2 linked regions of the Coturnix japonica genome follow. The main gene of each other region encodes a partner of the protein of the gene in region 2 in a complex. Links are inferred from orthologs where the notes say so. Each region holds a gene or a part of one and is shown on either strand. Other genes may lie near its edges.

Region 1 (7,259 bases), on a different chromosome or scaffold from region 2:
GCACGGTGAGCCATGTAACTGATGGAGCAGTGCACCAGGGTCTGCCCCATCTGTGCTCCGTGGGTTCCTCCTGGCTGTCCTGCTGGCCCTGTGGACTTTGCTACCAAACGCTGCAGTTTGCTGTGCTGGCTGCTGGCAGCCACACTCTGTGGAACCAGCTGCTCCGGTTCCAGTGGAGGATCAGTCACAGTGGAGCCAGGAAATAGTTTGGTGTTTCCATTCTTTCAAAAAGCATCCCTAATTGTAGTGGCTGCTTTATGCTTGCATGCTTCTGTTGTGTGCTGGTGCTGCTGCACCTTTGGCTGATATTAAGGAATACCTTTGTCCTTACGGATCTGATGCCCTTTATAGGCAGCTCGTGCTGATTTAATGACCAATCCGATCCTCAGAATAAAATATCCCATAGCTAAGAAAAATCCTTATGGTGTTTTCTGGCCGCAGTGAAGCTACTGTCATACAACATATGTGTTGTCCTGGCATCTCACGTTTGGTGATCCAGGCTGGCAGCTCCTGTGTGCGATGGGCCGGGTGGGGAGGTGGCTGCTGGTAGGTTTCATTCTGTCTGACCACCACATCAGAGCCCTCCTTCCAGCACTGTCACCATCATTCCTCCATCCTGGGGCCCAACAGCTCTTCTTTTTAAGTCTGTACTCACCGTGGCCTTGTTTCACCTGCAGGATGGGAGGAATCCCAGCAGTGAATGGCAAAGGAGAGCGTCTCCTGCTGCACGTGGGAATTATAGATATCCTTCAGTCATACAGGTAGGTGCCTCTGCAGTCATCTGTCCTCTAAGCATGCTCTATCTATTTTAATACTGAATGAAAGCAAGATTTTCCTCTCCTGAAGAGTCTGATGGTGTGTAGGCAGGTTGCCTAAAGCTGTCTGATGTGTGTTGGGAGCTCTGGATTTTTATCTTGTCCTTAGAACAGCTGGTGACACCGAGCTGTTTGCCTAAGGCATAATGAGTTGTTCTTAAAGAAATTCCCCATCACTGTGCCTGGGATGGGCAGCACAGAGCCAGGGAGGGATGGGAGGGTTCCCAAGCAGTCCTGAGCCAGCTGATGGTGTGCTCTGCTGACCTCCTGGCTGGAGCAAAGCTATGCTCTGCATGGAGCGAGGATCAGCAGCTCACTGAGCACTCCTGTGCCTGTCATGGAAGGTGGCTCTGGCACCAAGTCTGTGCCCGAAGCTGAGTCCTTCCTTTTCTCTCTGCTTCTTCCCTGAAATTAGGTTCATCAAGAAGCTGGAACATACCTGGAAGGCCCTTGTCCACGATGGGGTGAGTGCAGGGGGTGCCTTCAGCAGGTTACCTGCCTTGGCTCTCACTGCTTGGTGCCAATTACCTCGCTATTTATAGTCCCTAAAGTGGTACAGTTGAAGCTGATGAAAGGAATAGTTCTTGCCTCTTATGCCTCCGCAGCAGTGTAGTACGACTTATTCCCAGTCAGGTTTTCTTGCACACTCCACCTCCTCACACACTTAGCTGTCATGCTACCAGCTCTCCTCCTCTGCTCCCATCTGTCATTTTCCTCCTCCCTGTGTTAGCAGGAGCTGTGTGTGCAAGGCATGTGCGTTCGTGTGTGTTGAGGAGCATTGCCTTGGCTCTGTTTGGTGATTGACTGCGGTTCCTCTCCAGTAATCTATCTGCTAATAATCCCCTTGCGGTTTCCCTGCTCTCATCTCCAGCAGCAGCGATAGGTGTGTGTTTAAAAAGACCGTCCTCAAGATATAGGAACTGTTTGTCAGCATTGCGCATCCAAGCTTCCCTTCACAAAGTGATGCAGAGGAGAGGGGGGAGATGCCAGGTCACAGCAGCACAGTGACATCAGAAGCAGAGACACCAGGTCCATTAGAAGTATGGAATGTGTGTGGGGACCCTTGGCTGAGTGCTGCTGTCTGTGTGATACGCAGCCATAGCCAGGTGTGCTTTAAATGTCAGAGCAAAGCCAGAGAAAATTTCATGTGTGTAATCAGGTCAATATTTGAAAAATCCAGGAAGTCTCTAAAGGAATAAAATCACCAAAATCCATTATAAAATTACAGCAGGAGCGTAATCAAACGCAATCAAATGAAAGGCAGTGCTTCAGGCTTATTTATAGCATTAATCAGATCATTTCAGTTAAGCCTTTCCATTTTAAGGATCTATCAGTGCTAAATGCTGGAATAGAAAAGATTGCGTCGGCTGCTTTAGAGATTCTGCCTTGAGGAGTAATTGTGAAATGAACCAGCGGTTTCTTCCTTTCCAGGACACGGTGTCAGTTCACAGACCCAGCTTCTATGCAGAGAGATTCTTCAAATTCATGACCAACACGGTGTTCCGAAAGAACTCCTGTAAGCATGTTGTCTGTGAAGTGAGCGGGGCCAGCTCTGCCTATGGAGGAAAGGGTTCCTTTGGAGTGACTTTAGTTGGTGGTAATTCTCTCTTCCACTCTTCTCCTCCAGCCCTGAAGTCATCTCCCTCAAAGAAAGGGCGCAGTGCCTTGCTGGCTGTCAAGACTCCTGGTCCAACAGCTGCGTTCTCAGCCAGCCAGCTCCCCTCTGAGAAGGACGAGACGCAGTACGACCTCCGTGCAGCCAGGAGTTATCCCACCCTTGATGATGAAGGTAATGGCCTGGTTGGTGTCTGCTGGCTGTGATCACCGTCTTTCCTAGCAGAGCTCCCCTGTTCTCATTGAGCTCCCAGCTCTGCACCAAATGCACGCCTTTCTTGTTGGGTGGTTCTTCGTTCCCTGTCTTGCAATGCTTTGCAGGTGCTAAACTTAACCAGGACAGGGGGAAGGTGAGAGTACATTGTTTTGTCGCAGTGTGAGCAGTTGGTGGATTGGGAAGCAACGCCTCTGCATCCCAACCGAGTCCCTTCTTTGCAGCACTGTGTGGTTCTGCAGTAAAAATGGTCGCTTGCGTCACTGCTGCAAGGCAGCTCTGCCAACTGGCACCAGCAGTTGTAGCCCAAATGCAATCAGAAGGTTGGGTTTTCCACCTGTAGAAAAAATGGGACCGAGAACTGCACATCTCTGCTGTTTGAATGGGNTAAGAGAGATCTTGCCATGGGGAGGAGAAAGATGAATGGATCTGATTCTTTGCCTTTGCATCCCTTCCATCTGGGCTGGATTTACAGATGGTTGGTGAAAGGCAGGCTTCTTGAGTGTGTAAGTGTTAGATTTCTACCCGTGCAAAGCAGTGAGCACTCGATTCATCTTTTAATTCACTCGGATATTTATCTCTGTCAAGCCAAGCCTTTAATCCAGCTTTGGTTACCACTGAGATGTCTTCCTTGGCATTACATTTCCAGTAGTGTCTATCTGTCACGCTGGAAATGGTGCCTACTGGCTCTCTCTAGAGGATGCTTTGGGATAAGCTGTTGTTTTCATGAACTTCTTGCCTGTTTGTGCATTCATGTGGGGGAACAGCCTCACATGGGGCCACAGCAGATGAGGAGCTGATGTTTGACCTGCTTATCTTTCTCCCTCCATCTCTCCTGCCCTGCGCTTCGGGCCAGCAGGCAGACCAGACCTGCTCCCCTGCACACCTCCTTCCTTTGAAGAAGCTACCACGGCCTCCATAGCCACAACGCTCTCTTCAACATCTCTCTCTGTTCCTGAGCGATCCCCTTCAGAGACATCAGAGCAGCCTCGGTACAGGTGAGCTCAGTGCCCATCCCCTGCTCGTGCTGCTGCTCCTCTTTGTGCCGCAGCTCTCGACAGCCTGCCCTGTACTCTGCAGTGCTAATGACCGATTTTAATTAAATCTCTCCTGGGAGCAAGCAGACACAGCTTTGATGGGATTAATTATTGCTGGGAGAAGTGTCAGCTGTTAAGTAGAACATCTCCCTCATGGGGTGGGGAGTTAGATTTGGGTGCAGCGTAGGATTTCTGTCTTAAATCCTCCCTCTAACTCTGCTCTCCTGGTTTCTTTCTGCAGGAGACGCACACATTCCTCAGGGCAGGATGGCAGGTGAGAAATGTGCTTCATCCTCACATTTTTCTCACCTCACCTGTGCAAAGGCTGCTTTTCTTGGAGGGCTGAATGTGCCCCTTGATTGCAATTTTAATTACAAGCAGATCTCCCAGAGTTTTGCAAGGAATCTTTAATATCGCCCCTGTTATTTGATGGGAAAGAGGATGACTGGATGTTCCTATCGATGGAAGGTGCAATAGGCAACTTGGTGTTGGTTTGCAGCATCCATAGAAGTGGCAGGGAGCTGTGAAGCTCCTCTCCTCCTGCCAAATCCAGTCTGAGGCTGCTGAAAATCAGAGATTAATGGAAATGAAACTCAAGCACCTGTGTCAGGACCCACTTGGCAAAGTGCCGTGACTTCACCTGAATTGCTCCAGGCTCCCTCACTGTGGGATGTGACTGTTCAGCTGAAAATAGGTCAGATGAACCGTGTCCTAGAGGTGGCAGTTCAGGGAGTTGGGTGACTTGGGCAGAGGTGAATGACTGTCACAGACTTGCCACAACTGCAACCACCCTGTATCTGGGTGACCCTCTGCTTATGTTTTTTTGCCCAGTTTCTCTATTTTTGGTGCTGATGTCTGTATCCTCTCAGCTGAAATGAAGAAGCCCTTCCCCTGTTGATTTAAGTTCAAAACATGGCAGACCTTTGACTCCCCAGATCTGCTGGAGAACTCCCTCTGGGTTTGGGAAATTCATCCCTCTGGCAGCACCATCCCAGCAGCCAGATGGGAGCGGTGCAGCCTGCTGGTTCCAGCCATGGGACAGAGCAGAGCCAGCCAGGGACTGAGCAGAGCTGGCCAGAACCTCTCAGAGACACGGAGACTGTGTCCTTGGCTGGGCAAATGCCAGCTCCTCCTTCCCAGGAGGACTATAGAGGCAGCCCTGCTAACACAAGCAATTACTTTAATAGCAAGAGGTATTAAATTGAAGACTGTCACAAACAGCTCCTGACTCGCAGATAAATAGGATGTTAACCCCGGAGTGAACCTCAGTGCACCAGAGCTGCAGCAGAGGTTGGAGGCTTTGGCTGTTGGGAGGTTGATGGATAACACTGGGATAGATCTGGGCACATGTTTTCCCCAGAGGCCAATTGTCCTTTTTTCTCCTGCGTTCAGGCTGACATCGCCCATCCTTTCTGCAGTGCTGGCTCATGAATCCCTTTCCTCCCAACTCCAGAGTGCTGAAAACCAAAACCTGATGGGACTGACACTCCTGCTGGGAATTTTGGTTACCCAAAACCTCACTCCTGGGAGCTCTGGCTGAGCCTTCCCGTGTTTCTTCTGTTCCCAGGTCACACGAGGAGGTGCGAGTTGAAGAGGAGATCAGTGATCAGCAGATCAGTGTAGAGCTGGAGCCCAAATGTGATGTTGAGATCGTAGCTCCTGAAGAAGACAAGGAGTAAGTATCTGGGGGTGTTTGGCAGAGTCCTGCCCAGCTCCTTTTTTGTCCATGGCAGCTCATGCTGATTTTGTGAGGCATCAGCTCCCCTGGGCAGGTGGTTTCCTTCCCTGATCCTTCTGGGTGTTAATGCAGAGCATCCTCTGCAGTTCCTCTGGGATTAATCACCCAGTCTTGCTCGCTCCCCTCCTTCTGCCCTCACTGACCAGATGCTGTTGTTTCTTCCCCCTTCCAGAGAAGCAGCTTCTTCAGCCTGTGCCATTGTCATGTCCACAGCTACAATAGAGGTGGAGACGGCCAGTCAGGCCTCCGAACCAGCCAGCCAGGCCTCGGATGAAGATGACGTGCCAGTCACAGACATATACTTTGTAAGATACCCTCTGCCCGGCCCCTTAGGGATGGAACAGGGATGTGTGGATGAGGCTGTGATCTGTTTCAGGCTGTGGGGTGTGTGGGGCAGCGTCTGCCCTACACTGTGCTGAGCACCTTCACATCTTAGTGCTGGGCAGGGTTTGAACGCAGGGAATAACCCTTGGAGAACTCAGAACAGCACCTGGTGATGCTGAAGCATGCGGTGCCACTATGATGTAGTCATAGGTGTGCTGCTCTATTTGGTGCTGAAGGTCTTATCTAGGCCAGTGTGTTGCTCCTGGGACAAGCCAAGGTGAAAGTGGGTGCTGCAGGGCCCCCCCCATCCTGGGCCCTGAGCACAGACACGCTGTAATGGAGTGGAGGTGGTTGTGGTGGGGCTGACGTGGGGCTCTTGTGAACTCTGGCTTTTCCTCTCCCTGCAGGCAGATGCATTAGGTGGTGCAGTGGAAGTCTAGTACTGAGACAGGGAGTAAGTGAGGTGGTTGCTGTTGGCAGCAGAGTGCCGTGGAGCCTGGGGCTGTGTTCCTCAGCCAGTTTCCACAACGTCTGAGCAGCTTCTGCAGAATGGAGAGGAGTTTTTAGGAGCGTGTGCCTGCTCTGTGGATTCCCAGAGTGGAGCTGAGGGTTTGACCCATGGCAGCTCTCCCCCATGTCCTGGCACTGGAACCTTTCCATTAAAAGAGGTGCTCTGCTCCGACTTGCATGGCGATGGAGATGAGCTGTGCCCTGTGAGCTCCTTCAGGCTACCCTGAAAATGGCAACATTTGGCTCTCCCTCTGCTCATGTGGCTCTGCTGCAGAGCTGCTCACTCGTTGCCGAGTCATTTGGAGGCTCGTGGGAGCTGCAGAAGGAATCAGTTTTACAAGCTTGTCTGTTTGGGTTTTTGTGCATGCTGTTCCAAATGCAAACAGCTCCCTCTAACACTGGCTGCTCTTTCTTTGCCTGTGGATGGCAGCTGTGTCCAGGCTGCCTGCAGATACTGCCTGTTCCACTGGCAAATGTCTCCTAGCGAGGGGTGGCTCCCTTCCTCCCTGCCCATGGGCACGTGGACTCCCCCCAGCTTCCACGGGGCTCTTCTCTAACCAGAAGAAACCATTTGTGTGCAGTGTGTGCTCACAGAGAGCCTGACTGACTCATCAGCATCCCATACTTCATCCGAGTCCTTGAGTTTTGCATTAAGTGTGTGTCGTGTGCTGTGGAGTGTTTGTCACTGCTGGGATGAAGGGAAAAGCTGATCTGGGTTTCCCACTGGCAGTGATAGTGGCTTTTTTGTTGGTTTTTCTGCTGGAAAACCGCTGGAGCTGGAGCTCAACCGAGGCTGCACCCAAATGCAGCAAGGCTCGGACCCCAGCTGCCCCTGCAAGCCGGCCCCAGGAGCAATGATGGGTGGAAGGAAGCAACGTGCAGAGGATGATTCGTCAAATCCTGGGGGCCCATGGTCTGCTTCTTGAAATCAGCTGCCGAAAGAAGAGCACTTTATGCCCCTGCTCGCTCTCAGGGGAATAAAGGTGCAGGGATTTGCCAGGCACGGG
Region 2 (7,032 bases):
CTCCTGGAGGCAATTCCGGAGACACTGGGCTTGGGGACACCCCGCTTTTATCCCTGAGCCGTTATTGTCACCTGGGGACACGGCTCGTTGGCTCGCCGGTGTCAGTGACTCACCTCTGTCCGCAGCTCCGAACCTGAACGGGGGGACAACCTACACCTTGTCACTGTGCCCTGGGGAAGGGGGACCCTCAGGGCTGGCACTGCTCTTGGGGGCACCCACGGCAGTCCTGGGGTCCTGCTGGTGCTGCAGTGGCACTTGGACACCCACGAGCTGTGACACCCTGGGGACACCCCATAGGCCAGCACTGCTCTCTGGGGCACTCCATCAGCTCTGAAAGGAACGGGAGATACCCAGGATCATCATGATACTGCTGTGCCTCAGGGTCCCCTGCATTGTTTGTATCTGTGTCCCCAGCAGGACACCACTCTTCTGGCACTGCAGCCCCCAATGCAGCCCCATAACCATAGTATGGGAGTCCCACCAGCCTGGCACAGCTGGAGATTGGGGCCATGGCTCTAAGCCCAATGTGGCACCCCTTTCCCAGGGCCAGCAGTGGGCACAGGGATGCTCTATGGAGGTGACCACAGTGAGACCCCCCTGTGCAATGCAGGCTCCTCTTGGCATAGCCGCCCCAGGACCCTCCTCCACACCGCCCCAGTGTCCTCTGCGCAAGGCCTGGCAGCAAAACAACGGAAAAATCCTCCAGGACTGGAGGGAGCCAAACACTGACTCCCCCGTCCCATCCCATTGCTGCATCACAGCACCAGCGCTGCCCCGTGATTAAACCACCCCAGGGCCATCATCCCCAGCAGGAGGGTACCTTCAATGGGACAGCATTGCTGGGTGACTCAGGGCACGCAGGCTGCCTTGCTCCTTCTTTCTTCTCAAAATAAACTGTATTCCACAGGCAAAAAAAAAAAAAAAAAAAAAAAAAACCCTTCTGATCCCAGCTCCTCCAAAAATACCCCATGCTTGAATACCGCTCGTAAATGCTTCTGGTGCATTCCCAGCTGCAGGGTGAGCTGGAGGATGGGGGGGTTGGAGAGGATGGGGTGGGATGGGATGGATGAGGTTAGGGGCTGTATGAGCTCCCAGCCTGTCGCTTTGCAGCCACATCCAGCAATGGGGCGTGCACCCAACTTTTGGCACAGGGGCACAGTGAGAGTGGTTGGAGGTGAGAGCTGGAGAAAAATGGCTTTATAGGAGCAAGACAAAGATGGATGGATGGCTCTGTGGGAGATGCTTAAGCGCAGAGCAGCCCAATGGACTCAGAGGTGATGAGCACAGTGTGAGCAGCTGGGGGAGCTTCCTGCAAGCCCCCCAAGGGATGCAGTTCCCCCTCACCACACTCCTATTTTCCTCATGGCCACATCCCGCAGGGGCACCCTGTGGCATCCAGGCCCTCCTGTCCATGGCTTCGTCCTCAAAGCCAAAGTGCAGGAAAAGGGATTCTGTGATGGGTACTCTTCTCCAGTGCACTCCTGAGGATGGCACTTCCTTGGTTGTCACCTCTGCCCTGTCCCAGTGTTCCCCAATGATCCAGGCTACAGGTCCTCTGCCCACCCCAAATTTGGGGCCGTGGTGGGGCTGCTGGGCACCTTGTGATTGACATATCCCAAACACCACTTGTGCCTGCTAGAACCTGCATGCAAAAATAGCCCCTCCAATCCCAGCTGAAAGATTTACGGGGTCAGGGCTCCAGCCACGCTGAATGCTGCCCTGCGTCCCTCCAACGTGTATTTACAGCTGGCAACTGTGACCCACCCTTTGCCTGGGAGATGTAGCTGGGGGTCCCCACTGCTGAAGCCCCTGCCCTGGGCGGTGGAGCTGGGCCATGCCCATGTCTGGTACCTGGTGCTGGGTCAGGCAGTGCAGATTGTCAAGGGACAGCTGGCACGGCTGAGATTCCTGTGGGAGGCACAAATCCACCCTGGAGCTGGGCCATGGGACAGTGTCCCAAGGGGGACAGTGGCCCCTCTGCACCTCGACACCCCATGATGCTGCAGGACACTGCAGTGCTGTGGTGGATGGAGACCCCAAAGGCCAGCCCAAGGGACACAGCTGAGAACTGTAGAGTTGTGACATGCCTTGCAGTGCAGCTCAGCATCCAGGCTGCTTGTTGATGCTGGCCCTGCAGCATGGGTAGTTGGGGTGCAGGGAAAGAGGTATCCCCACTGCATCCCACTGCATCCCTCATGCCCCCAGGCTCAGCTGAGTGACGGGAAGGGGTGGCAGCAGGTGGGGAAGGGGCCACGCTGGGGCAGCCAGGGTGACTATTTCAAGGCCTGAGCTCAGCCCAGGCAGCCAGAGGGGCTCCAGCCGCATTCCTGACTGCTGCCCCACTGGGGGGGTCAATGCATAGGGGGTGCCCCACCTGCACCCCCTCCCACTGCCCTGCCTAGGGATATTTTTGGCTGCCTGCAGGAATGGGGCCAGGAGCGCAGAGCCTCAGGGGCAGGTGCTACACTGGAGCTCAGCCGGCCCCCAAATCCCCCTGCAACAAAATCCCCCCCTGCCCTGGGTAGCACCTGCGAAGCTGCCAACGGGGGTCTGGGCTGCCGGGTGCCGCTTTGGACATGCCTCAAATAGTTTCCGTGCTGTATAAGTGCTCGTGGCGCTTTCCCCCCACAAGGAGGGCTGGCAGCCCCATGCTGCCCGCAGTGGGGTCTGAAGCAACCCTCCCCCCCAGAGCCCTGCTCCTTGGGGGCACCCGAAGTTGGGGGTCCCTGCACTCCCCCATGGACACGTGCTCCAAGCAAGCAGGAAAACCACTTTTATTGATGAAAGCGTCTTTCCAAAGAGCCATCCACATTCCCTCCACCCCGGAGCTTCGGGGGGAGGTGGTTTCCTTCCATGTGTAATATGGGATGCTCAAAGTATCAAAATAGTGAGAGAAGCCTCAGCGAGTGCAAAGGGGAGGGAGGGAGGTCCCGGAGCCAGGGAGGGATGGGGAGCTGTGGGCTCCGGGCCTCCAGGCAGGCACTGGGCTCCGGGCATTAGTGGGGGTGATGTGAGCAAGGGGATAAATGAACTCAGAAAGCTGAAGGCTCAATACTACAGAAATTTAAAAGTTATAAAAAATACTGAAGATCTCAGAAAACAACGCAGGCACTTGGGAAGGAGGAGGAAGGCAGAGCTGGCTGGGAGGCAATAAGGTGGGAACAGCAGCTCCTGGGGCGAAGCCACAGCACCAGCCCCAAACAGAGGCACTGAGGAGGGTGTGCGGTGCCTCCCAGGCGGCTGCTGCTGCGGAGTGCAGGGGCGTTCAGCCAGCAGTAAGGCATAAAGGTGAAAAGAGGCTCTGTGCGAGGCACAAGGGAAGGTGCAGAGATGATCCCCAAACAAGGGCAAGGCACAGGCCTCACCCGCTCCCACCTGGAGGAGGGAGAAGAAAGAAGCAAGAGAGAGGATAAGAAGGCACGAGGAAAGTCCTGAAAGGCGTGAAGGGCCAGGCCCCAGGCAGCAGGGAGCCTTGGGCCCCAGGGGCACATTGAGCTGCCCCAGGACAGGCTCCCAGCCCGGTGTGCTGCGTGGAGAGGTGCGATGGGTGGCGAAGCAGCGGCGCAGGTGCAGCACCTGCACGGTGTCTGGGTTAGTCCTGGTGCACCGGTGCGGGCCGAGGCAGCCCAGCGTTATTGGAGGTGGGGTGTCTTAAATAGGAGCTGGAGGCAGCAGTCTGTGCAGTGAGTGGAGGGAGGGCTCTGCCTGGGCGCGGGGCTCAGTTCTGCTCCTCGTCCCGCAGCTCGGTGGGCAGGAACTTGTACTGCTGCTGCCGGATCATGGCCAGCTTCTTGCGTGCCTCCTCCAGCTCCCGCTCCTTGCGCAGCATCTCCTCCTGGGCGGCGATGATCTGCAGAGAGAGTGGCAAGATGCTTTGTCCACCCATGGTATGAACATCTTGCTCTGCATCCTTCCACCACAGCCACAACTACAGCTAAGCACCCCCTGTGGTCACATCACAGTGCTCAGGAGATACGGCCCACAGTATCCTGCAGGCAGGTCCCACGTGCAGCAGGTAAAGCTGGGACCTGTGCCTTGTCATATAGGGTTGCGCCTGTCCCTTGAACAGCATTCTACCCTTCACACACCCTGTGGCCACTGGGTTGGTGCAGGTATTACACTAAAAGCACCAGCAAATGTTCACTGGCTGTGCCCACTGCTACAAACAGTAGGAAGAATATCAAGCCCTGCTGTGTGGAATGGGAGCCACTTCCCAGCCTGCAGTGCTGTGTGATGACAATATGGCCTTGGGGGCAGCCAGAGCCACCCTGTCCTATGGAAGCAGCCCCACTCCTCACCTGTGCAATTCCTCCCACCATCTTCTCCTTCACCACCACCGTCTCATCATGGTCCTGGAAGGCGGCTGCCTTCTGCGCTGCCTTCACCAGATTGTCTGATGCTCTCTTCACAGCATTGCCAGCAGCCTGGAGTGGGGGAAAAAACGGGAGGCATTACACTCAGCCCAGGGTACAACTGCTGCCCTGGGGGGGAACCCCTGTCCCAGATGGGCTGGTGTGCAGAAGAGGCAGCTGGAAGAAGGGGGGCTGCCAGCAGAGCTCCCTGCTCATGGCTCGCTGCCACCGCGACTGCTCATGACCATTTCAGGCGCTGCTGCTCCTGACTGAGCCCATGGGCTCCCTCACTCTGCTCCCACGTGAACAGCAGGGCAGGGACAGTCCCATCCCAGCCTCTGGCCCAAGGTGACACCTCTGAGGTCCCACTGGGATCCCTCCTGCAGCACGTGGGCATTCACTTCTGCCCCGTGGCCACGGAGATGGCACCATCAAAACATGTCCCTAAGCTTTAATGCCAGGGATCTGGTGCATACATTTCAGGCATTCCCAAGTCAGGCCATCAGCCGTGAATACCCCCAGGCTCTGCAACCCCAGCCTGGTGGATGGGAGCCCAGGAATACATGTGCATGCAATTGAAGTCCAAGCTACATGGAGCCAGTGTCCAAATGAACCACCAAGAGCAGTGCCACAGCCCCATCCCATGATCCTAGATGCCTCCCTGCTCTCACCCACCCCTCAAGCACCCAAGGGAATGTTCAGGAACCTGGAGGAGGCAGCTGGGGCTAAAGGGACTCACCTGGAGCCTCTTCATAGCCTCTGAGTCATGGTCAGCCTTCACCTTGCAGGCCACCAGCAGCTGTGCTGTGGAGGCAGCCACCTGCTTGGCTGATGAGATCAGCTTCTCCTCACTGGCATGGCCCTGCACTGCTGCATTGGCAGCTTCGCACAGGTTGTTGGTGGCAGCAGCCACCATGCGTGCCTGCAACAAGAGAGGGTGTCAGAGGGCTGGAAGAGAGGGTCCCAAGGAGGACGTGGTGCATAGGATGGGGTCAATTGGCTTCCATGCCAAACCCCATATGGTGGGAGAGGAAGTCAGCAGTGGGGCTGCCTCTTTTAGAGAGCGGAAGCATAAGGGCAGAGAGCATCTTGCCCAACATTAGATGTCCCCTGCCCCCATGTTTCCTTGATACTCACAGCGGAAATAAGTCCCTGGGACCACTGTCCATCATCCACTGCATTGGCCGGGATGACTCCCACCTGTGAAGCAGGACAGGGTGAATAAGGCACAGGAACAGTCCTTGGAGAAGGAAGAGAACCCACCACAGCTCCAGATTCACCTTCCCTCCCTGTGAAAGCTCTGTATCTTTATGACTTCAACTCTCTTCCCTCCCAGTCTTACCTTTCCTTGGGCCACCAATTCTCGCTGGGCTGCTGAGGCTGCTTTCACCAAGGCGCTTGTGGCTGCAGCAATTGATTTGGCTGCTTCCAAGATCTGTTCTTCAAAATCCAGAGTCTCATCTGCTTGCTGTAGGCAAAAATGAGCACATTAATCCTATACAGGAAGGCAGAGAAGGTGGCAGGAGGCTGCTGGGGAGGTGAGGTGGGGCTCAGTACCCCACACAACCTTTGGCTTGGCTCTTGGTTTCAGCTGCTCTAACTTCTTTGCCGCAGCTTCAATTGATGCTGCAGCTCCCAGCAATTCATTCTCAGCGATGACTGTGGGATCTTCTGGGTCAACCCACTCCGTCCCTACAGAAAAGGGAACCAAGAGAAATTAAACCCATGCACAGCTTGATTTCCCAATGACCCTACCCCCTCCCATCAGCTACTGAAGCCCAGGTGCCAGACCAGAGGTGGATGTAGCTGTGGTGCTCACCTTTCATGGCTTCAGCTGCCTGGATGAGTTCAGTGACAGAGCTGGCCACCCGCTTGGAGTACCCAGCCAGCTGCTGCTTCAGCTCATGGGTCGGCTTCTGCAGGATCTGTGAGAGAGCAGCAGTGAGCATGTTATGGAAACTGAAGAAGGGGGTGGTCCCTACCTGGCAGCTCCTTGCCCCCAGAGTTTGCCTGCTTGGTAAAAGTTCTATTTGGGGCTCAGACACCCTCATTTCAGGCTATTGTGAGTGCCATCACAAAGCAATCAGACCGCATAGGTCTATTTGAGGTGTTCCCCTAGAGAAGGAGAGGGGAAAACCCCACCCTGTATGTGTGAACTGGTCATTGTTTGTCATCCTGTCTGCAGCAGTGCTGGTGAGCCTCCTCCTGCACAGGGACAGGATGCTCTTCTTGGCTGTGTCGAGTCCACAGCTTCTGGGACATTACACAGCACCAGATTCTAAGCTTGAGCCCTTCCACCACTCAGTGGCTGTCTCCTTGGATCTTCTCCCCACCCCAAAGCACTCCAAGCTCCTGAACCTATCCCTCCCTTGCTGTCCCCCCTCTCAGAAACTCATCTGCAAACACAAGCAGGGCAGGGGAGGATGTGGAGCAAGGTCTCAGTCCCTGCAGGACATACATCCCCTTTCTAGGAGACACCCTGCAGAGGGTGCCCTGCAGAGGCATGCACACACCACGGCACACTGGAGGCCACACATCAGCTCGAGCAGGAGTGAGTACAGGCATGGACCATGGGGTCCTGCTCCAAACCACACAGGCACAGCGTCACCGCTGGGCTGGGCAGGCGGACATGCCGCCAACAAGGCTCATGCAGAGGTTAGACACTGGCAAGCACACCAAG

Evidence for each region. The genes of interacting proteins can lie anywhere in the genome.
Region 1: the proteins of TLN1 (region 2) and PIP5K1C are in contact, whole or in part, in a crystal structure (PDB 1Y19), measured with the Mus musculus proteins. The link is inferred for Coturnix japonica from reciprocal best matches to the Homo sapiens genes TLN1 and PIP5K1C. Residues at the interface, in NP_035732.2 of Mus musculus: Pro209, Val210, Gln211, Leu212, Leu214; in NP_032870.2 of Mus musculus: Pro646, Leu647, His648, Tyr649, Ser650, Ala651.

The regions. Positions count from the first base shown.
Region 1 is NC_029543.1:459,358-466,616, forward strand, and holds part of PIP5K1C (phosphatidylinositol 4-phosphate 5-kinase type-1 gamma), read left to right. Parts: intron 1-677; coding exon 678-761; intron 762-1,230; coding exon 1,231-1,279; intron 1,280-2,246; coding exon 2,247-2,331; intron 2,332-2,442; coding exon 2,443-2,604; intron 2,605-3,499; coding exon 3,500-3,641; intron 3,642-3,921; coding exon 3,922-3,954; intron 3,955-5,247; coding exon 5,248-5,355; intron 5,356-5,590; coding exon 5,591-5,723; intron 5,724-6,149; coding exon of another isoform or gene 6,150-6,182; exon of another isoform or gene 6,183-7,021; intron 7,022-7,259. UniProt on the Homo sapiens protein: Catalyzes the phosphorylation of phosphatidylinositol 4-phosphate (PtdIns(4)P/PI4P) to form phosphatidylinositol 4,5-bisphosphate (PtdIns(4,5)P2/PIP2), a lipid second messenger that regulates several cellular processes such as signal transduction, vesicle trafficking, actin cytoskeleton dynamics, cell adhesion, and cell motility.
Region 2 is NC_029547.1:8,453,496-8,460,527, reverse strand, and holds the end of TLN1 (talin-1), read right to left. Parts: intron 6,278-7,032; coding exon 6,172-6,277; intron 6,045-6,171; coding exon 5,920-6,044; intron 5,821-5,919; coding exon 5,695-5,820; intron 5,553-5,694; coding exon 5,490-5,552; intron 5,275-5,489; coding exon 5,092-5,274; intron 4,425-5,091; coding exon 4,299-4,424; intron 3,851-4,298; coding exon 3,719-3,850; 3' UTR 3,049-3,718; downstream 1-3,048. UniProt on the Homo sapiens protein: High molecular weight cytoskeletal protein concentrated at regions of cell-matrix and cell-cell contacts. Involved in connections of major cytoskeletal structures to the plasma membrane.